Linked DNA regions of Schizosaccharomyces pombe. The gene in region 4 interacts genetically with the main gene of each other region. Each region holds a gene or a part of one and is shown on either strand. Other genes may lie near its edges. The genes, in order: mex67, mlo3, nup120 and red5.

The links.
Region 1: mutations in red5 (region 4) and mex67 impair growth when combined (synthetic growth defect), as found in Schizosaccharomyces pombe (one study listed by BioGRID).
Region 2: mutations in red5 (region 4) and mlo3 impair growth when combined (synthetic growth defect), as found in Schizosaccharomyces pombe (one study listed by BioGRID).
Region 3: mutations in red5 (region 4) and nup120 impair growth when combined (synthetic growth defect), as found in Schizosaccharomyces pombe (one study listed by BioGRID).

What each region holds. Positions count from the first base shown.
Region 1 is NC_003423.3:2,406,381-2,411,872, forward strand, and holds mex67 (nucleoporin Mex67), read right to left. Parts: upstream 3,742-5,492; 5' UTR 3,715-3,741; coding exon 1,924-3,714; 3' UTR 1,772-1,923; downstream 1-1,771. Other genes in the region: DNA repair protein, SUMO-related Rad60, read left to right, coding at 452-554, 605-1,722; SPOM_SPBC1921.04C (uncharacterized protein), read right to left, coding at 4,671-5,024. UniProt on the Schizosaccharomyces pombe protein: Involved in the export of mRNA from the nucleus to the cytoplasm.
Region 2 is NC_003423.3:1,743,036-1,747,509, reverse strand, and holds mlo3 (RNA-binding protein Mlo3), read left to right. Parts: upstream 1-2,761; 5' UTR 2,762-2,797; coding exon 2,798-3,397; 3' UTR 3,398-3,542; downstream 3,543-4,474. Other genes in the region: cyclin Clg1, read left to right, coding at 84-1,469. UniProt on the Schizosaccharomyces pombe protein: Has a role in the mRNA export process. Interferes with mitotic chromosome segregation when overexpressed.
Region 3 is NC_003423.3:4,013,762-4,021,028, forward strand, and holds nup120 (nucleoporin, WD repeat Nup120), read right to left. Parts: upstream 5,090-7,267; 5' UTR 5,007-5,089; coding exon 1,596-5,006; 3' UTR 1,465-1,595; downstream 1-1,464. Other genes in the region: Sre1 cleavage-activating protein Scap Scp1, read right to left, coding at 1-28, 86-1,014; Fe-sulfur protein Isa2, read left to right, coding at 6,548-6,993, 7,063-7,234. UniProt on the Schizosaccharomyces pombe protein: Functions as a component of the nuclear pore complex (NPC).
Region 4 is NC_003423.3:1,048,364-1,054,115, reverse strand, and holds red5 (zinc finger CCCH domain-containing protein), read right to left. Parts: upstream 2,514-5,752; 5' UTR 2,037-2,513; coding exon 1,994-2,036; exon of another isoform or gene 1,920-1,993; intron 1,784-1,919; exon of another isoform or gene 1,778-1,783; coding exon 1,748-1,777; exon of another isoform or gene 1,703-1,747; coding exon 645-1,702; 3' UTR 501-644; downstream 1-500. Other genes in the region: Gtr1/RagA G protein Gtr1, read left to right, coding at 1-338; SPOM_SPBC337.11 (peptidase), read right to left, coding at 2,824-3,801; dre2 (anamorsin family protein), read left to right, coding at 4,686-5,552.

The DNA.
Region 1 (5,492 bases), 1.4 Mb from region 4:
GGTTTTATCTGAACTAAATAAAATTTATTTAGCGAATGAAGAACAAATTATGAATGGCAGTAATGGACGGACGCAATGTAGCCGTCGTAAGGTGAGCCAATGTCATTGAAATTCATCAAACCTAATGTCTCAGTACAAGAAGCAAAGAGTTTTCAAATTACTTAACCTAAAAAATGAAATTCTATAGACTTAAATCTGTTTGCTAAGTGGACAAGATCGGGTTTTGCGTAAGTAAACAAACTTCATTTCGAAGATGAGTTGGAGGAATGTTCATTGAACTTTTTCAATTGAATTATAAAATTATTATATAACTTTCAAAATCGATTTGTAATAAACTTGAGTGAAAACAAAACTAAGCTAAAAATTACCTAGTTTAAGGTGTGTCGCTACAAATTCTCGTTAAATCCATAAGAAGCTTTGTGGAACCACCGTAATTGCTAAAACTCGCCAAATGGACAACCTAGATGAAGATGACTTAGCATTCTTCTCAAAGCCTATTAAAAAGCCTCCATTAAACTATGCCAAGCAATTAATAGCCTCTTCCTCAGATTCTGGTAAGTTTTAATTCCGATTGCAAAGTGTCAGCTTGCTTACAACATTCTAGAAGAGGAAAGTGAACTTGATACCAATAAACAAGCATTAGAACACATAAATGCACAGAAAAATATAACTCATAATGAAAACAAAAGTGCCGAACCTTTATCTCGTCAATCCACTATTTTAGATGCTGATGAAGGCAACCAAGACGTTTCAGACACTACTCCTAATGCGTGTTTGAATGAAGGTAGGCACTCACCCAAAAGTGCTATCTCCTGTGTAACACAACCGGTTTCACCAGTTTATAATACTAGGGCGGCCGCTAACTTGCGAAACAACAGCATTAATAGTGAGGCTGCGCTTTCTACGACTTCATCACTGCTGGACGATGACTTTGCTCGTAGGTTAGAGGAAATTGATCGGCAAGTTCAGGAGTTTGAAAAATCATCAAGTGATATGGATGTACAAATTCACACGCATAAGAGAGAAATTGAAGAAGACGATGACAATACTTCGGCTGATGTGCCCCTTTTAAAGCATTCAAAAAGTGACCACTCAACGCTGTATCACTCCAAATCGGAATTCTCAACAAATGAACCAGTTATTTCCGTCGTTCTCCAGTTAGCCGTAATTGGACAGAGAATTCCAAACAGCAATATCTCTCTTCCCCGGGACTGGGAGGCACCGTTATTTTTCAAAGTTAAGTCGAACCAACAGTTTCGTCGTGTCAGAATAGCGTACTCTGAAAGAAAAAAAGTAGATAACGTTGTTCTTGTATTTCAAAATCAAAGATTATGGGATTATGGAACCCCAAAGGGCGCTGGTATGCTTAAAGTCGATACCCGTTTGGTTGTGCATGCCTACTGTCACTCGGATTTTATATCACTCAAAAGAATAAAAGAATTGGAAGTGGAAAAGTTATCCTCGGTAACTGAAGATTCAACTGCTCAAACGTGTAAACTTATAACGTTGCTTTTGCGTTCGAGTAAGAGTGAGGATCTTCGTCTCTCAATACCCGTCGATTTCACTGTTAAAGATTTGATTAAGAGATATTGTACTGAAGTAAAGATTAGTTTTCATGAACGCATTAGATTAGAATTTGAAGGTGAATGGTTAGATCCCAACGATCAAGTGCAAAGCACGGAACTTGAAGATGAAGATCAAGTTAGTGTTGTTTTGGATTAAAAGGATATTTGGCTCTTACTTTTACCATTGTTCTTTCTTATATTTAATTACCGCCATAATACTTTTATAGAATGATCACGAACGACTATGTATAAATCTAACTTATTCATTTCATCAATATGTACCATTATTAAATAAAAGTTTCCATTTCCCCAGTTTGTAATTTTTTAACCATATCTATCTATACACGTCACTAGAAGTTCATGAAAATGCTTCGGCTGGTATAACATTTCGCGACTTTAATTCCAAAAAAGATGCTAGAGCGCTGTTGTAATCCCAATTATTTTGCTCACAACACATGTGAGCATAGTAATCATTTAAACCTGTCTCCGCCTTAATTTTTAATACAATTTGTTGTCTAGTGTCTAACATTGCTTGTTCCGGTCTTGGCTGTACAATATCACTAGGCTTTGAAGCAGACGCAGACATGGCATTATTGCTTGTTCGTACACTGCTTTGACCAGGTAGCCACCCGAGCGATCCAGCAAATGAACGAATGACTAATAAATCATTTATAATCAATATGCCTGTGGAACCTCCCGGCAAAATCAGCAAAGTTCGATCAAAACTTCGTAGAAGTCGTTTGTTTTGTGGTTCCTCAAATTGCCCATGGACAACAATTTTGATGGCTGCACCAACCGAAGGCAGAACCAGGTTCCAACCATCAAAAACCCATTGCGAACGGTCTGATAAATCGTGAGCCGTAGCAGGTAAGGATTTTACAGCGTTGCTTATTTCTTCGTGCCCGTTAAATAAACGAGATTTCGACTCCTTCTGTGATTGTGAGTAAAGTAGATTTCTGCTTTTCATTTTGTAAGCTCCCCATTTTTTAGTGTCTGTTTTCTGAGAAAAGTTCGTTCTAACGTTTGAAGCGTTCAGAGAGATTGAGAAGGTAGCATTTGGACTGTATAATTGATTGACAAGTGCACTTCTATTCTCATCCCAACCTTTAAAGAACGCAGCCAAAAAAGAATTGACTATTTGTTCGGTTTCAACCTTATCAAAGAAAGATTGATAAACCGGAAAAGGGACGGTAGATTGAGAGGCGATAATCTCTGAATTTATGCTGTTACCATCTAAAAGACGAAGCTTCGGAAAACGCGAAACCATTTCCCGTTGATAATCCATAGCACGATTAGCAAAGGTTGTGACAATCGGGTTTCCGACAAGAACAAGCTCTTGGAGTTCGGGAAGCTTTGTTTTGGGGGACCATGGATCCAAGTCAGATAAAGAAGTAATCCGGTTATTAGCAAGACTAAGGTTTAAAAGTTTAGGCCATGTTTGTGCTAAAGTGGTTACGGCAGTCACCGATTGTAAGTTGTTATCCGACAAACTAACTGATATAACGTCTGGAAAGTTTAAAGAAGCAACCTTCATTAACGCTGGAAACATCTTACTCTTAGTAGAAGCCTCTGCTAAAATCCCCATTTGCTTTAAAAGAGGATCTTGTTGCAAATTTCCGAGGTCCAAGAATTTAGTAGCAGGTTGATAACGGGTTTGCAAAAACTGGCGTAACTTTTCAATGGTCTCATTTGTGGATTGTGGTAACGTTTTTGAAACATTTCTCTGGGCTTGTGTTGCTAATGCAGATAATGAAGGAGCTGAAACAGAACGAAATGATCGTTTTGTCTTTGCTTTTCTATAATCTTGAGTAACGTTAGAAGCTCCATCGACCCTTCGTATAGCCAAATGATCACCAGCAAAAGCCGCACCATTTAACCCGTTCAAACGACTAAAGTCTTGGCTTTTAACTACGGCAGTGACCGAAGCCGGAGAATATGAAATGTTCATTAGACGAACCTTGACTTTTCTCCAAACAAAGCTTATTAAGTCGTCCTCAGAACCCTTGGAATGACCAGTAATAACTACGGATATCGGGGGTTCACGCGTGGCACGAGGTTTGCCTGGTGTACGGCGTTTCTCCAATGGTGTATCAATTACCATTTCATTCTCTTTAACAGCATTACGACGCTCCCGCTTTCTACGCAACATTTTGCAATTATGTTGAGTAGTAAGTGTGAAGAGAAAGAGAGTAAGTGGAATTTAATTCAACATTTTTAACTTCAATAGTAATAGGACAAGTATAAGGAGTAGAGATGTGTACGCGCAAAACTGCGTTAAACAGTTAGACTATTTGTGATATAACGAGAAACTGTTAAATGCGTTATTCGTCTTTTGCTATGCTTGTATCGATGGAATTTGTGGAAATACATTTTTTGTTTTAGTTTATTTTATTGAAATTCAAAAAAATTTATATGAGGCTAATATAAAATCGTTTACTGTTTTTTTGTAAAATCACTATTGATATAACTCAATCGACCACCTAAAATTCGACCTCCATTAACATGAAAATTCAGGAGTAAATTTTGAAGTAAAGAACAGTTTAGTCAGTAAGACTTCCGAACACTAATTCCTTAAGCAATATATCAATATATGTGTCCCGCTAATTCTTGTTTTATTGCATGTTTAAAGAGATTGAGCACTAAGCAACGTAAGTTTTTGATAAATCTGGGTTTCATGAGCCAAAAAAAATAAACATTTTTTGGTTTTTTTTATTTTTTTTTTGGCTTGGATATCTATTTTTTGTTTAAATCGATTATCTACTAAATTTATGTATTCATTTTAATGGAGAAGCAAAATTACTATTTACAATTTTTTATTATTAACTAACAATATGATCGCCTGCACCTTTATCAATTCATATCATAAAAATATGTACTTACTTGTGAAAAAATGCCTGCTTATTTTTTTTATTTTCTATCCAGTATAATGCTCAATTCTGCTCAGTTATTGATGTAGACAATATATATAATATATACGTATAGAATAATTAATTGTTGTATAACAATGAAGGGTCAACTTAAAAAATGAAAGGACTAAATTTCTACAGAAATCGATTAAAAAAGTGTTATTTTATTTTCATTTATTTATTTTGAACAGCACTTGTTTTATACTTTCCTTGACATTATCGTAACCTCAATAGGATAATAACCTGAAAATGCAGCAAACAAATTACTTAAAAGGGTAGGGTTTAAAAAACAGTCACAAAGGTCTATAAACGTGAGTTTGTTAAGTTGAAGTTTCCCTATCGTGCGGTTATATACCGACGCCCACAATTCGTGTTGCTCACTTTTCTTTTTCTTTTTCCATGGAATGGTTTGAGCGTCATACGTGGGCCAGAGCCATATTGGACATCTTAGTGCCCTTACAGGAATAGTCATATTGATACTTTTTCTGTGGGTCGGTAGTTCAGATAGCTTTTTGCTTTGTAGTATAAGTTTTAAATTTTTTGTATGACTCATTAATGTTTTTTAATTCATTTTAATATTATTCATGTTATGTGTTGGTTGTATTTGTCTGTCTTGTGTAAATTTTGGTTGTATTCGTGGGTTTTAAAAACCTGCTGTTTACTTAATTTTGAATTATCGAAATTTCTTCCATTTTTTAGTGTTATAGGGACAGCTTGTTTGTCGGACAGGATACTCAATGGGTTTAACAAGCTACGTTCATTTCTATTTTGTCACTATTATGGCTGTAATGTGAAATATCATAGTTGATTGTGCCGTGGATAAAAGAAAAAATCCTAGTGTTCTTTGCTCTGTCTTCTCCACGGGTATTAACAATGCACATGCTGTATGTCGTTTAACGTTTAGATGCATTTCATATTTGTTCACCTTATCGTTATCTCTGTTGTATCTATTAAGTTCCCACACTGGGGCACTAAAATGGTGCGGAAGGATCCTATAATCGTAGGAGTCGTTGGTGTTTCT
Region 2 (4,474 bases), 690 kb from region 4:
ACTTGATTAGGTAGAATAGCAAAGGAGTTAAAAATTTTTTTTTTAATTCTTCAATTTGCTTTCCTTTTCGAAATTCTTCAGCAATGTCGTTTCCTTATCAGCACACTTCACGTTCTCAAGTTCAGCCTCCTTTGGCTGCCCCCGGCTTGAGTATGTTTGCTCCTGTTTCGTCCAGCAATAGTGCAAACTCTGCTTCTTCGGTTGCTGCTTTGTTGAGTCATGCTCCTATGTATGGTCTTGGCCAGCGTCGTCCGTCCTTCTTACCTGGCGTTTCTGTGCCCGATACGCTTTCGGTAAGGTCGGGCTTCTCCATCCCTTCCTCCTCTCATCATCCTTCCGCTGTTCCTTCCCTTCTGTCGCAGCACCGTTTACAGCAACCTCAACCACGTCTCTACCCTTCTGCGCCTCTAAACTATTACTGGCCATCTTATCAGTCGGTTCCATCTGCCGCACCTCCACCACCCTCCCAGCAACGCTATATGCCTGACTCTGCCGTTGCCTATAATCCTAACCAAGATCAATTTGGCAATTCGGTGAATGTATCAGCTGCATGTAACAACGTTTCCGCCCCTTTGATTGCTAACAATTGTGCTCCTTCCTTTTATCAGTCTCGACATCCCGTAGCAGATGTGCCTGTAACCAACAATACCGCCACTACTACCTCCGAGACTGATAATACAATCCCAGGTAATCTTAACATGCCTTCGGTTGCTAACGTTCAACAACGTATTTCTCCTGTCTGCAAAACTAACATGGAGGATCAGGAAGAAACCGTTTATACCGGAGGTGTTGCTGCTAAACTGGATTACAAGATGGATCAAATGGTGGAATACTTGTCTATCATGACTTGTAAGTTGTATGCTCGTTTCCTGAATAATGCTCAAATGCATTCTCTTGCTAACTCTTTACCTGGTCTTGTGTTTTCTTTCCGTAAGGTCGTTACACAAATTTTGACGTCTACGCGTTTACCTCGTGCCTCTTGCTTGCTTGCCTTGTCATACCTTTCCGATCGTCTTGACGCCGCATCTCAAACGACTGATTTTGTAAACCAGTGGACTAAGGAGTCGTTATTCTTCCAAATATGTGCTCTTTTAACGACCGCCTTGATTTTGGCTAATAAGTTTTTGGATGACAATACGTTTACCAATCAATCCTGGTCGCAAGTTACTGGTTTCCGTACTGCCTTGTTGAACAGCTTTGAACAAGACTGGCTAGCTAGCATGTCCTGGAATCTTAGTCCCGGTCCTCGTGGTCAAAAGGCATGGGAGTGGTGGAGTGCTTCTTATTCTTTGTTTACTTCCTCAAACGCTACATACTCTGGTGAACAAAAAACTTATAGCCCTACTACGTTGAGCACCAACGCACCACCATCGCCCTCTTCTGGACGTTCTTGCTCTAATTGCAACTACTATTATCCCTATACACCCGTGGGATATTATCCAGTGTACAATCGCTATGCAATGACTTAGTGATCGTGCTTACTTTCTGCGGGTGTTGTTGCTTGACGGGGTTTGTTTTTCGTTTCCTTGCGCTTATAAACACTTTACGTGTTTTTGTTATTCTTGTAACTTTTTTCTCTTTTCATATTGTATGACGGGAACTTTTGTTTAACCCGTCATATTGTATTCTCTAATCATCTCCGTGATGAATTCGGCTCTCTTGAAATTAATTTGCCGTTTGATCTTGCTTTTCTACTTTCTTATTTTTTCAAATTTTAACAGAGAAAAAAAAAATTTCCCAAAAAAAATTGAAAAGTAGTATACCGAAAAAAAGGAACCAACTTCTTATCAGTATCTGTTTTATTTTTGTCGTTGGACTTTTATTTTGCTTTCTCGTGTGGCTTTGTTATCTATTGGAATATCTTTTGATGCAATTCTGATTTGTTAATACTGCTTGATGTATATACATCCGCTACTACTATAGGGATCGCGGATTTCCTTTTTAAAGTTCGCCTTCAAAAATTAGTAGTCTACTTATACAACTAGCTTCATCAAGAAATACATTGTGAATAGATGAAAAGGCCCATGGATGCTTTGAGTTTATTTTTCTGTTTCATTAGCAAAGATTTTACTTCGGGCATCGTTTTTGTCCTTATTTTGTTTATTTTTTCTCCTTTTGATACTTAAATGAGAAACCTTTGCTTGCTGTTTTCTAAGGATTAAGCATAAAATTTTTTATTGCGATTTTCCAACTCCCAAACTGTTTGTTATGATTACCTAGTTTTATTGCGCATTCGTCGTATGTCTACTAGTGAGATAACGGATTTATATAATCTCTTATACTTGATTCTGTTGCACTGAATCGTGCTTTTTAATTCTGAATTATGTTGTCTTTGAATGTTTTCCGTGTTTCTAAAAATTGCATAATCGTTATTCTTCTGTCTAGATTCTGCATTGTTAAGCTACCAAGAAGCGGCGAAGCGTTTGCATCTATCTAATCGTGTAGGCATCATATCAAACGTTTGGTATTATGGTTACAAAAATTGCTTTCCAAAAAAACAATAAATTCTGTTTTATCAATAATCTCTCAACTTTTATAAGTGAACGCGTCCATCCTAGTTCTGATGCCAATAAAGTGTAAAGTAAGTTTAATTTGTAATATTATTTTTTTGTCAAATTTCTGAAGACTTTAAAGTAAGCGTTCAACATCGCTAAATATATTTAGGAATCTACAAAATAATAATTTTAAATATCGACACCTTGTGTACTACCCTTACCTAGATCCTGATCAGTTGTAAACCCCACCCGCCACTTTACCACCTAACAACAACTAACTACCCAACAGTAACTCGATAAAAATGTCTATGGAATTAGATCAGTCCTTGGACGCCATAATTGCTTCAAAGCCTAAAGGAGGTATTAGAAAGCGTCGTGCGCGCTCTAACAAGCCAAAGCCAACAAAGAACGCGAAACCCGCAGTGAACACTGCCTCTGCCCTTAAATCCGTCATTTCTGAGGAATCTAAAATTATTGTTTCTAACTTACCTACTGACGTTACCGAGGCTCAAGTTAAGGAGCTTTTTGTGAAATCCATAGGACCTTGCAAACGCGTTTCCTTGGCTTACGGTCCCAACGGTCGTTCGAAAGGTATTGCAACTATCATTTTTTCTCGTCCTGGTGATGCCACTCGAGCTTATGAACAGTATGAGGGTCGTTTGGTTGATGGCACTAGAAAAATGAAGGTTGAGATAATCCTTGATCCTAGTCGTCAATTGAATTCTTTGGCTGCACGTGTAAGTCCTGCCAGCAACGCTAGCGCCACTGCTAGCAAGAATGGCGCCAAATCTTCCAAGCGGAAGACTACACGCCGCCGTAGAACTCCTAATCGTCCTAAAAAATCCGCCGAAGAGCTCGACAAGGAGATGGATGATTATTTTGGATCAAATGAGAAGGAGTAACTTTAATAATTTGAAGATTCTACTATATATACATATATTTTGAAGATGTCAAATGCTTCTTGGTATTAATAACGACCTATACAACATACTCCCTCAGTTAAATAATATTGGCAATATAATGCTGTTTCGAATGGCAGTTCTTGAAGTTGTTTTTGTGTTTTGGGTCTTTCGTAATGGATTTGGAGAAGTGAGCTGAACCAGTTCTTGTTAGTATATATGGTGTGTATTGGGTCATATTGCCATTATGCCATTATTTCAAAGAATTTCATTAAATTTTTTATTTATATCTCTTTTTTGATAGACATATATGTTTCATTGACATCGAACGAATTTGGTTACTTATTTCTTTTTCGGTGGTTAACGTTGGGTTGGAGGTTTTGACTTTTGCTAACTTTTGACATATCTGTTGATTTGTAGTATGCAAGCTTAAACGCTACCAAGAAGCTAAGCTTTGAGTCGAGTTCATTATTAGCATATCTGTTCACCTGTTATGTTTGCAACTTTATCAGCTCTTGTGCAGAAATCCTTTATGGTTGATAAGCGCTCCCTTCTTGTTTAATACAAAAGCAAAACCTATGTAGACAGTGGTTAAAAGAGGTGGATAATGGTAGCTTCGGCTACTGTTACTTTATTTAATCTAAGTTACTGTACAAGGCAGCTGTTTTGATCATCATGTTGCTAAACTATACTGGGTTGAGCTTACCGACAGGGTTTATTATTGCATGTTTGCTGAAAGTCAAAGCTTCCATACCCCAACTTGACTGTGTTTATTATGTTCATGATGGTTTTTGGTTCACGTCACACTTATTCCAAGTCTTGTTTTACTATATGTGGCACGGCTTGTTTGGATGAGGAATTTCTATTCGTAAAATCATCGCGTTCGATGGCTCTATTTCATCTTTGTCAAATTGTACATGACAGAACTGGCTTCATTCCTTCCTTTGTATGTAAACCACATTTATAGAACTTTTCCACGATTGCATTTTAAACTCGCTGATTGATGAATTACGCGCAATGCATTCTTTTGAAACTTTTAAACCCTAGTCACTTCCATTCCCGTTTTTTTTGCTTCCGACG
Region 3 (7,267 bases), 3.0 Mb from region 4:
AGCGATTACTGCGCGTAAAAGTCGAAATCTGATAAGTTAGTAATAAAACGTTCACATAATGACGAAGTATAGCAAAAAAACTTACGAGTTTTCAATGTCCATAAATATGATAATATAGTAAGCCATAGGCCATGGACATATGGGGCCCGTTCTTTCAAAGAAATACAGCAAAGAACAGGTAGAGAAGTAGGCAGTACCGCTTTGAATAAATATAGTCGCTGTAAGACCAAATTTAGCACGAATATCATGCAACCGCACAAGTGACAAATACAAATATGCAAAAAGTCCGACTCCAAACCCAACCCATAGGTACCATCTGTAAATAACAGTAAGGTCAGGAATACGTGCTACGACAGTGGTAGGGGATGTATCAAGTAAACTTGCATATAGATTAGGAGTTTCGGAAATAAATTTCTTTAAAACAACATGAAAAGTATCGACTTGTTCAGGCTTTAAAAAGTAAGTAATCACAAAAGCACTAAGCGAGTCAAAACCTTCGGCTATTGTATCATTCCTAAGCTTGTTCACTTCACGCTCATTTTCAGGAAGCCCTTTAGTATATGAATATTGAGCTACAGGATCAACCTTACCATAATATTTTGGTATTGGAGAAATAGTTACACAGGATTTTTCATCTCTTATGCAAGGATACCCGTATTCCGCCAAATATTGATGGAAGCTTGTTTCCCAACGATACGCGTTTGAAAGATAGTCTTCGGAAAACACTGATGTGTTCGTTCCTAAAAGATAGAGTTGTTTCGTAATAACATTTGCTTCAGCATTGATGCTCTCGGCATACCAAGCCGACCATCTAGCTAATGATTGATCGTAAAGGGATTGCTGATACGCTACCAACGACGAATATATACCTGTGATTGATAAAAGAGTAAACACAAGAATGAAATACCAAGGATTATTGGCAATACAGTAGCTGTACTTGGCAAATAATGAAGGGTTAACTTGCCGAGCATACCCTCGTGAAATTCGGCCTTTTCCAAGAGTAAAAATCCTCATAACGATATTTTCAGTTCAATAACATTGGTAAACGTTCATTAATTAGATCTTTACAAGACCGATATACCCAATTCACTGAGAATCAGTTTTCGCAGGTCTTGGTGTTTTGTACATTCCTTCGGGACCCGACAAATTTAAATTCGGGCACACGGCGTGCAATTTCCGTACACTATTATTAATAGAGAATTATTTAATCTGAAACCAAAAGTTTCAAAAAAATGTTATAAAATAAGGAAATAAAAATTCAAATATATAATTATTGTTGGTTCCAACATTCTGCCGATACTAGCCGTATCTCAACAATATTTCCCAACGGACAACACTAATTAGCAAACTGCGGCAAGCTGCAGCAAAAAGGTCGGAATTATAATTCGTTAAAGATATGTAAATACCAATGCTATCGAAAGTATATTTATATTCAGAATTTAATTTTATAGAAAGAAGTTAGTTATTTATGGCTACCCATCGCCTCAATGAAACTAAAGATGATTTAATTACTAAAACTCTGCCAAGCATATTGCTTTTTTTCTGGATTTTTCTAAATGAGAAGGTTAAGCTGCGTAAATAATTCTTTGTTGCCTTTATAAATCGATATTCATGGCCGATGACATTTCAGCTGTAACTTGAACAGCGACATCCTTCAACTGTAAGTGATATTCTGCTACAATTGCATCTAGAGTAAGTAATTTTTGTGGAAGAAAGTTAGGGTCAGGTTCCTTGTCCACGGACATGTCTGTCACAAGAATCCATGTATCTTCTTTCGGAAGCAACTCCAGAGTGTTCAAAACAATCAAATAATGTTCTATTATAAAAGTTCTCTCCTTTTTTCCAATTAATTCTGTAGTAGAGATATACCGGCTCAGTTTTTCATAAATAATTGCTGCTGCGTCTCGATAGTTTTGATGTTTATACCGCCAACTAAACAAAATATTATACCAGCATGGTTGTGATTCAACGTTAATCATTTGAAAGGCCTTTCGCTCAAGCAAATTGTCGACGTCCTGTCTTAACGTTGGCATTGAATAATTTAGAAGCTGATTTATTTTACCTTGTTTCGTTAATTGATTTACAAAGTCTAGTAAACATGACTTTTTCAAAGGCGTAGTGGATAAAACCATCAATGCAACGTGAGCAGCGTCAAACTTTCCTGCTGCACAAGCGGTTTTTAAAGTCTCATGGGTAATTGCAATAGACAAATCTTCGTCGTCAGTCTCTTTCGAGGCATCTGCTAATAAAGAAAATTCTAATGCATCTATATATGCACTCTCCTCGAACAGCTTTTTTGATAGATGAAGGTAATAACACGATAATAGGTTCTGATGGTGGTATTTTTCAGCAATTTCTTGAAACTCCCGTAAAACTGCGAATTGAGAAGTATGTGAGTAAAGGACTAGAGAAGTAGTCTTGAAACATCGGACAGCCTTAACAGCTTCTTTCGATTTGAGATAAATAAGTGCTTTCAAGTAGACTGCAATTGGGTCAGAGTTAAGCCACCCTATTAATTGCATACATGCATTATATTGTTTGAATAGAAACAACTTTTCTACAAGTTCAGTGACCAGATCATTTTCCGTATCGTCCCTTATAAAGATTGCCGACAAAGACGATATCACGGTAGCATGTAAAGGTGAAATTTGGCTTTCTGAGAAACATTCGGAATAATTCAAAGCGGAAAAAAACTGAAGGGCTGTGTTAACACTTGCTAAAGCTTCCATAGTATTTAAATTACAGTTTGTTGAATCAACATCCTCCTCCTCAAATTTTTCTAGCAAAAGTGCAGAATTCTCTAAAAGAAAACTCACAAGACGCCAATCTTCTAGTAAAGAAAGAAATAATTTATCACATCCTGCAAATTTGGATTGTAACTCATAATCCTGCTGGCTAGTTATCAAAGAAAGTAGAAAAATAAATCCTTCAATAGAGACTTGAAACTTTTTCAAAATACTGTCCAAAACCCGTGCTACCGATGCACACAAAAATAAGGAAGGGGATTGAGCGGAATGGTTGTAAATATCGAAACTTCTTAAGCGTTGGATAAGAGAATCAATGTCGCGCATCGGGTTTTCAAGAGAAACTAGAGTATCAATTAAAGTACTGATATAATCTGGATCGACGTTGGGATATATGTGCTTGTCATAAAATACCCACAATGTATCAAATAAAGAATAAGATGGCAAATCCTGGACTAGTTCTCGTAATGAGTATCTAATTTCAGATAAAGTAGAAAATGACATACAGGAATGTAAACTCCTACCAAGATCCAGAATTTGATAACCTTCAATTAGAGAAGGATCATCTGTTTCAAGGGAACTAATTAATTTGGTCAACGGCTCTTCGTCAAAGGATTCAATGAGATAAGGATCCCTAATAAAAGCCACTTTATTTGCATAATTGATATATGTAACAGCGTTCGAAGGATCGAAGTTAATACTTAATATTTCATCTCCAAAATGATCCAGATATGCAACAAGTTTCGCAAACCTTTCCCATTCATTATATAATAGCCGCTTATATTCATAATAATCGTATCCAGTTAAATCTGAATTTGGCTCTATTTGGATCGTTGAAACTATAGACGACAAAACGGCATTTTTAAGTTCACTTATAGTAAGTGCGCCAAATTTATCCAGTTTATTTTTTGAAACTTGCGAGGAGCTGTTTTGAAAGCTTAAAAGAGCAACTTGTATAGACTCAATAGATGTATTATGTGCAAAAATGTGTTGTAGCCAAATCTCTGAGATATCCCCAGACGACATGTTTGTTGGAACGTCAAAAAAGGTTTTTTCTATGAGGGAAAAGCTATCCAAAGAGTGACTCCAAACGCATGAAAAACTCTCGTCCTGATCTAGACTAAGGTTGCATTTTTGGATAACGGTATTTAAGTTGCTTTTCCAAGCAATAATGAGCAAAAATTTAGATTGAGAGCCCTCTGACGATATCAGTTGAAAATCAGAAAGCATCCATGGTATGAACTCATCGTCTGGTAAAGAAGGAGGAATTATGCCCTTCTCGATGACAACATTTAATTTAAAAGAGTGGGCGTTTGCGTTAAGTTTGTAAATTGAAAAAGAGCCATGAGAATTATCTGGGTAATACAGAGCGATGAAAGAATTAGTGGTGTGATCTGAAGTTAAATAAGGAAAGGATTGTAGAGGAAGTATAGTCTGTGACAGTTCAATGGTTTCGACGCATTGATTAGTAGACAAATCCAAAACTTTTAACTTATAGTCAAGCGATAGCATCACAAGAACATTATAGGTAGACAAAAAAATCATTGAAATAATAGTATTAGGAGAGCGGTAATCTGCCTTAAATGCCTGAAGTGATAGATATTTTTTTAGGGAAAACAAATAACTAGAATCATCAATATGCTGTTCGTAGTGACTAGCGTCTTTTGGATTTAATATAATCTTTGTTAAACCTCCATTGAAAAAGCTTACACAAATTTCAGACGTGCTAATTGCGGCCATTAAATCGGGTTTTTGATTCAGAAAGGATATTGGTCGGTAACAAAGACACCAATCGTCGTCTAAGCGAGCGTCCGGTAATTGGAACCAAGTTTTAGATAATCTAATATAATACAAAACGCGAGCGTGAGTAATAGCATATATAATGGTCGTGTCGGAATGCTCACTGAACGAGAAAGCTACACCGTCCTTCATTACGTTGGATGGAAAATGAATTTTCACATTAAATTTTGATAAAGGCTCCTTCTTAGAATTTAATGAAACATCAAAGATAGTGAGTGTTCTGTTTTGGAATATACTCCATCGTAAAGTTTGTGAACCTTTGCTTTTATTTGAGGTATAAACACCTGCATCATATGCTACACATTCCTTTTTAAAAAGTTTTTCATTATCATCAGCTGTTTCTATAGCTTCAGAATCGTCTTCCGAGTCGTTTTCGAGAGCTGGAACCCACAACGCCAAAGTTCCTTCCAGACAAAAAGATTGTAAGTCTATCGGAACTACCGCATGCTTTAATTCATTCATATTTTGATTTTATTTTTTACTGGTAGCGGTAATACCAGTAGAAATACCAAACAAATAGCTAACAATAGGGGGCAGTTCTGGTTGAGTATCGTAGACAACGACCTACACGAGTTAGCGTAAGACAGGCCAGTCCTACAACGAATTTATGAGAAACGCGTAAATACGAGTATATTTGTAATTCTTTAGCTTTTTAGGGTAGAGGGAGATGGAATGTAAAACTGAATTTTCTTCTTGAAGATTAAGTTCCTTAATAAAATAGAATCATTTGATTGTGGATGAAGAAAGCTAAACAATTTGATAGTTTTTATTAATCGAGCAATTCCTTTGTATTCATAATAATAAAAAAGGAATCAAATATTCATTTAAAACTCAAGAGCTTAAATGGATTCTCTATTTTATTTGTGAAATTACATACAACAGTAAAAGATCTTCAAGATATCAGAAGCCTTTCTTAGATTATTGTTAGTTTTTTTTATTATTTTTTGTATACCTGTAACTTTTTAGCTGTTGTTTTAAGAGATTAAATCTATTTAAATTAACAGTACTCATCTTTAGGGTCTTAATTTACAGCCTTTCAATCTTTTTTAATAAAATAGTTTTCTAATTTTCTAGTTTTGTTTATTTTTAAATTTTGCAAATTCTTAGTAAATAAAACATGTAATATTTTCAACCATACGTTAAATTGTAAATTACATTTTAATAAATATTAATTACGTGCAAGGGTGAATTATTGTTCATTGGCATGCAATTTATAATTTATTTTTTTTATTGCAGATACAACCAATTCTAAGTCTAATAGCCAAGATCTCTTATACCTGATTCAATATTACAATTGCGGTGATATGTGCTTGTACGAACACCCGCAACTTTATAGTAATTAAGCGGTAGTACATACACTGGTATCACGATAAAGAATTAGCTAAAGTAGAAGATTGTAGCAATGGCATCAATTGTGATAAAGACATTTTCTGGATGTGATCCACCGGTCTATGCTAGAATTAAAGGATCGACAATAAATATCCAGAAGAAGAATTAACCAAATGGGTTGAAATTATCTCTAATAGCTAAAAATCTATTCATTTAAAACTGAAAGAGAATTAAAGGAGTAGGAGTACCAAAAGGTAAAAATAATCCAAAGATATTAATTTTGACTATAAATCATCACAAAATTTAGTAGCATACAACATAAGTAAAAAAGAACATTAAATAATTCTAGATATATTTGATAAATTCCCCTTATTCTCTACTAGCTATGGGTGTGAGAGTTTTGTAAGTTCGAATTCAATCTATCCGATATAAATCTCTTAGAGATTGGGTGTTAACTAATAGGTAAATCCCTGAATTTGACTTTAGTCTATGACACACTCGTCAAGTTATGACTATTTCATTTATGTACTTAACTTCTCTATCTCATAAACATAAGCACCAATTTGGAATATACTGAATTAACGAAACAGAGCGTAGGCAATTTGACTTCTATTACGTTACTGTATGTTTACAAGTTAGAAAGTCCTAACTTGTGGCTATAATACTTTGCAGTGATGCTTATGAAATCGCGAGTAAACTTATTGTTTAAAGGACCATTTTTCTTTCGAGAACGTTGTTTTCAAACACTCTTAAATCCTGTGATCGCAATTCGACAGCTATCGCATGGATCGCTTAGAAATTCTCGATCATGTAGAATTGATGCGAAATCGAATACATTAACGAAAGAAATATTTCCCAAAATAAATAATGAATTCAAAATCAAAAATCGATTTTATAGCTCAAAGCTTGCGAACGACCAATTCACGCTTCAAGAGCAATGTGACGAGAAGGGAATCCCTTTTATTTTATACGTGAAAGATTCAGCGAAAAAACAGTTAGAAAAAATTGCAGAAAGGAAACCAGAAGAAAACTCTGTTTTGCGCGTCACTGTCGATGGTGGTGGATGCCATGGATATCAAGTATCTTTTCGCATGGACAACAAAATTGGAAATGCTGACACGTAAGTGATGTGGTTAAGAAGACTATAAGTTTTAATTAAGTATTTCCTGGTTATTGACTAAATATCTAGGGTATTTGTGCGTGGAAAAGCCAGGGTTGTTGCTGACAACATTTCATTACCTTTGATAAGTGGCTCTGAAATTGAGTATACAAATGAACTTATTGGTTCCTCTTTTCAACTTTTAAACAATCCACGTGCCAAGACTTCTTGTGGTTGTAATGTCAGTTTTGATGTTGAATGAGATTTATACTTAAAATAATACATTTCTCTTATA
Region 4 (5,752 bases):
AGGTAATATTATTTGAAAGAACAACATTTTTGGTTATTTCTTCTTATTCTTCTGAGTCCAATCCTGCCACTGATGCTCACAGGTTCGAAAAAATTAGCAATATTGTTAAGCAATTTAAACTCAGTTGTAGCAAAATGCAAGCTCAATTTACTACTTTTGAGCTTCGTGGTGGTAATTTCTCTGCATTCATTGTTCCATATACTGAGGACACATACATATTGGTGGTCATTGCTGATCCAGAAATCGAATCAGCAGTAACCCTTATGAACATTCAAAGTGCTCGACGATTTATAGAAGCTTCAAAGAGCGCTTCGGACGGTATTCAACTGCAACCTTAATTTTCCGTTTGATAGATCCATCAATCTTGTTCTTTTTTCTTTGATAATCGTAAAAAATGTGGATCTAATGTATTTTACTCTTGTTGCTGTAATTACCTAGCCTCTTAGTTTTAGTCTTTAAAAAATAATATTCTTTATCAACTAGTTGAAATCTTTTTCTATTTTCTTTCTAAATCTTATGATATTTTTTAAAAATTTATTGTATTCAATTAATAGAAAATTATAACTCATTATCATCAAAAGTTTAGACATTGCGTAACTACACGATAATTTAATTCTACAAGATCAAACTGCTAAACGAATTATCTAAACGGATATAAAATCCAAGTTGCTTTCTAAGGAATTACTTCCAATTTCCGATCCAGAGTCTTCTGGATTTATAGAACCAGCAGTCTTCGATATTGGAGCTTCTGTTTGTTCTGGTACATCAGCGGAAACAGCACCATGATAGAGAGAGCATTGTGGATTATTACACGAACCAAACATAGCATAATCGGTACACTGAAGAATATGTTGATTTTTGCAAGACGTCCCTAACTCACAGAAACCGTACTTGGCAAATTCAAAACATATAGGGGCATTTTCAGAGTAATGAATGTGCACATATCGACAATTTGGGTTATTGCATTTTCCTAATAGAAAATACCGGCATGCAGGAATTCGTCTGGGATCTAATTCATGTGACAAATTACAATCTTCTGCTTTATTACATCGACCATTCAAAAATTTCGGACATATCGTTTTGCGGGTGGGCTCATGCACGAATCTGCATGCTGCTCCCTTCCCACAAATTCCATTAGCATTATAATAACGGCAATAAACAGCTGAAGGTGAATTTCCAACCTCCTTGAGAAACCTCTTCTTTTTAAGAAGATAAGACTTATTATTCCAATATAAATATTTTGGACATTGTCCCTTAGCACTAACAAATTCCAACCACTTGGTATCAGATACACCGGTAATATACTGCAGTCCGTCAATAGTTACTAATTGTTTAGTACCATCGGATAATCTTTGCTGGATTTTATTTTCGGCTAAAGTTTTGTATTCTTTCTCAAGCTTGGCTCTGTAGCTCTCCAAATTAGCTTTTCTCGCTTGCAAATCATGTTCAAGAATATTTTTTTTAATCAGTTGCATATGTCTGTTTTTCCGTGATACATAGTCAGATGTGGATTGTTTTTCAGGTTCCTTATTGGCATCGTCTGCATTCGATGATGTTGACGGTATCACATATGGAGGGCTAGCAGCTGTCGATTTCGAGCGATTGGATTTATTGAGGATAAAAGAATAGTTCCTAGAAACAGAATAGGGATACGAACGAGTATTCTTATTTGCTTTAGCGGCATCTAAAACCTGGGTAGGTTCTGCTAAAATCATGAGTCAAAGTTCCTCATAAATGGGCATCTTACCTTTTTCATTTTTATATTGATTGATAGCACCTAAAGGTTAGTTATATTATTACTGAGCGTTTCATAAATAAAGAAACATAAAGATATTTTTTTGCATAAAATCTGTCTCCTTGAAAATCCTAATTATTCATTGGTTTCAAAAACCAAAAAGCTCATTAGTTAAACCAATCCAACTTCAAAGTCGACCAAATTTATTCTGTATAACAGACAATCAAAAGACGTTAATACAATTTAATCAAAACGTACCAGCTAATGAAGCAATATTTTCCAGCAATTGTTGCTCGTTCATTGTGAATGCCGCCTAGAACTAATAAATAAATATAACGAACGGATGTTTTTTTTTGTAAAATAAACCAACAGCTTTAATGTCTTTTATTGAACTTGAATCGTCCAAGTATTTCCTGTTTTAAACCACCACTTGATATATTATGCAAAAGCTCTTGTTTGCTCAATGTTTTAAAATGAGTGGTTTTCCACTTTAATGGTCTTTCGTTCTATAAGTGAATCTTTTAAAAAAAAGTCTTTGAGAACCTTTCCTTAAACAAAACTGTTTAAGTTAAATGCCCAAATAATTGAACGACAACGATTAACCAAGGTCTTTACTTTTTTTAACGACAGGCAAGAGCTTATATGTTTGACAATGACCTTTTTGAAAACGTCGTTACAAAAACAAAAAAACTATGAAAAAGTCCTTGAAATAAATTCTTACAGTAATTAGATGTGGTAAGGTATTTCTAAGTCGACAGATTAGAGTAGCGTAGTCGGTGGCACCAACAATGTCGGAGTAGCATCAATGTAATTACCGACGCTTTATAACGATATTTTAAAAAAAACTATCTTAAATTATCAGTATTAAAACAATATTGCTTTAATTATAATGAAATCCTTTTTACTTAATTTAAATAATCCTTCTTTAAAGCGTAGCTCAAAATTGTTTTTTTCATTAACGAATAGATACCTCTTTATAATAATAATAATAATAAACGATATGAAAGATCAAAGCAAATATTTATAGTTCTTTTAAAATTTACTGATTATACAGAAAAAACAATTTGGTAAGTCTGTATTTCGGACGCTTAATTTGTGCTCATAGTAATCACAAACTTTGTAGAACATTCATTCATAAGTTTTCTATATGAATTTATACATTCATCAGTAAGAGATGTTTCAGCAATTTTCTTGTTTAATACCTTATATTTCCCTGCTTCAAACTTGGCGACCATATTCTTTAATAGTGAGTTTGATTCCACTAACGAAAGTAAGAGAGAATTGCACCCAATAATCTTCAGATTTTTGCGATATATTTGTTTCATGTCATACGAAAATTCTATACTCCCTTGCTTAGGTGCGGAAATATAAGACAACCTTCCCCCTATTCCCAATTGATTGAGAGCCGATTTCATCAACAAAGGATCGCCCACCGTATCGATTACCACATCAACTTTCTCAACCAATTCGTGGACCCTTTTTAATTCCGGATCCACCACTGTATTGATATCGGTTGAGCCGCTCCTAGACACTGTGATTACCTTACATCCCCAATCCTCTGCTATTTGACAAACAGCCGACCCGACAGCACCTAAGGCTCCAACCACTAGTACTATATCGCTGCCTTTGGTTTCTCCTCTGCTTAAAGCCAAATAAGCGGTTGTAAAAGGGACACCGACTGATGCTGCCTCAGTAAACGACAAATTGCTTGGCATACGAACAGCTGCTTTTTCCGGTATTATGCAGTATTCAGCATGAGTACCGTCTTTAGTGAATGATAGTTCGCTACCGCTCGTTCCAAACACTCGAGTTCCTACTAAATGAGATGCGCCACTAATTACAGTACCAGCATAATCTCGCCCAACGATTCGAGGATAAACAGTATACGGGAAACCCCCTGTTGCGTTCATTAGATCACTGGGGTTGATGGCAGCAGCTTCAATTTTTACAAGCAACTCTCCATTCTTTGGTTGGGGAATAGGAACACTCTGAATTTCAATACCCAAACAACCTGGCTTCGGTTTTTTTAACATTCGTAACGCCTTCATCATTTGATAGTATTGCATTTAATAAATCCTTCTTTTTGAAGTAAAAAACCCTCTAGTCTTACATAAAGTTATCATTATTATCTTATACAGTCGATATGTAATTTGTATATGACACCCACGGCAAAATACGAATATCAAATTTCTCGAAAAAACACAGGGCTAAAAATATTTGACTATTAAATGTAAATTACCAAAAAAATGGTTCTCAAAGCTGGAAATAGTTGCGTGCAGCCAAAAGTACAACACAAGTTTTCACTTGACCCGACATTTCAGTCGATTAGCCGGTGATTCCGTTGACTTGTTCGATCAGTATGAACAAAGTAGAAATCAATGACTTACCGAAATGCGCAGTACTTCATAAGCATAAATAACGATATATAAGAAAACCACAATATTGTTTTAGCTATATGCCTTACAGTGCCACATGATTGGATTCTATTCATTTTAAGACATGCTGACGGATTACCAATCAACAGGTTAAATTTACAGCGTCGCCACTTGTGGTAAATAGAATTTAACAAGAACAAAATACTAATCATTCCTTTTTTTTATTGTTTGAGTATTATTTCTCTATAATTGATCATTTCATAACGTTAAGGCGTGGAAATTTTCATATTATATCTACAGATAACTTTTTTGTTTATCCGTTGATTAAAAGAAAAATTTTACCACTTTCAGACCGGTAAAAGGAAGACAGTTTTTGACTTTTTTCTAATTGTCTGTACATACGTTACAACGATCTAGATTTCGTTTTTATTTTTATTATTGATAGTGTTTTTTGTATTCGTTGGTGGGTTTACTTACCAATTGCTAAGGGTTTCATTTCGCTGAAACGTGTAATAATATAATAATTTTAATTACTTTTTTTGCTTTTGTTTAAGCTGTTAATATCTTCTCTCAATATGTCATCTTCTGTCCTTGTTTTGACGTCTCCCGGCTTTGCTTCAAAAGAGGAGTCTTTGAAAAAAGTTTTTGACCTTATCGATAATGGTGCTTCTAGAGAGTTGCAAATGATAGATCGCGTCCAATCTCAACTTGTTAATTTACCCATCAATCGATATGATTCAGTTATTGCTGCCATTGATGATGGTGCATGGTCTTCAACTCTAGGACCTATACTTTCACAAGCCTTTGCATCAGTACATCCTGGAGGAACACTTCGTGTTTATTCTACTGCCGATGAAGCAGACGAGTCATTTGAAATGACAGCTTTGCTATCTGGATGGCTTATTGAATCAAAGAGTCCTTGGATTTTATCTCGTCCCAATCAGGTGGAAGCAGTTCCCATTAAATTATCAAACAAAAATGGTCAATCAGCGAGCAAAAACAAAATTCTTGATTTCTTAAAATCTGACAAGGAAAACCTTATTAGTGGTGATGATGATCAAGAACTCATCGATGAAGATGAGTTGTTAGACGAAAGTGCCCACGATAATGTTTTAAAAGTGCCCGAGTGCAAACCTGAACCTGGAAAGAAAAAGCGTGCTTGCAAGAACTGTACCTGTGGATTACGTGAAATGGAAGAACACGAGTCTTCCAAGACATCCGCACAGTTAGAAGCTGTAAAACTTACAGACACCACCGAAGTTGATTTCACCGAGAAGCTCAAGAGTAAAAATGCCGTCTCAAGTTGCGGAAATTGCTATCTTGGCGACGCTTTTCGTTGTAGTGGATGCCCGTATATAGGAATGCCTGCCTTCAATCCCGGTGACACAGTTATATTGGCTGAAAATCGTGACAAGATGTCCTGGATGGCTGATGACATTTAATTTATGGTTATCTTGTAATTGAGATGTTCCGGTTTATGAATGACCGTACTGCAGTTCTATTGCCTAATTGAAACTAAAGTTAAATACTTTTTTTTGTTAACATTTGTTTTTAATTCCGATATTTGCTATGATTTTGTAAGTTCTGGTTAAGTTTGAACTAACAATGTTGCAAATTGAAGTTGAAGTGGTTATATTACTAT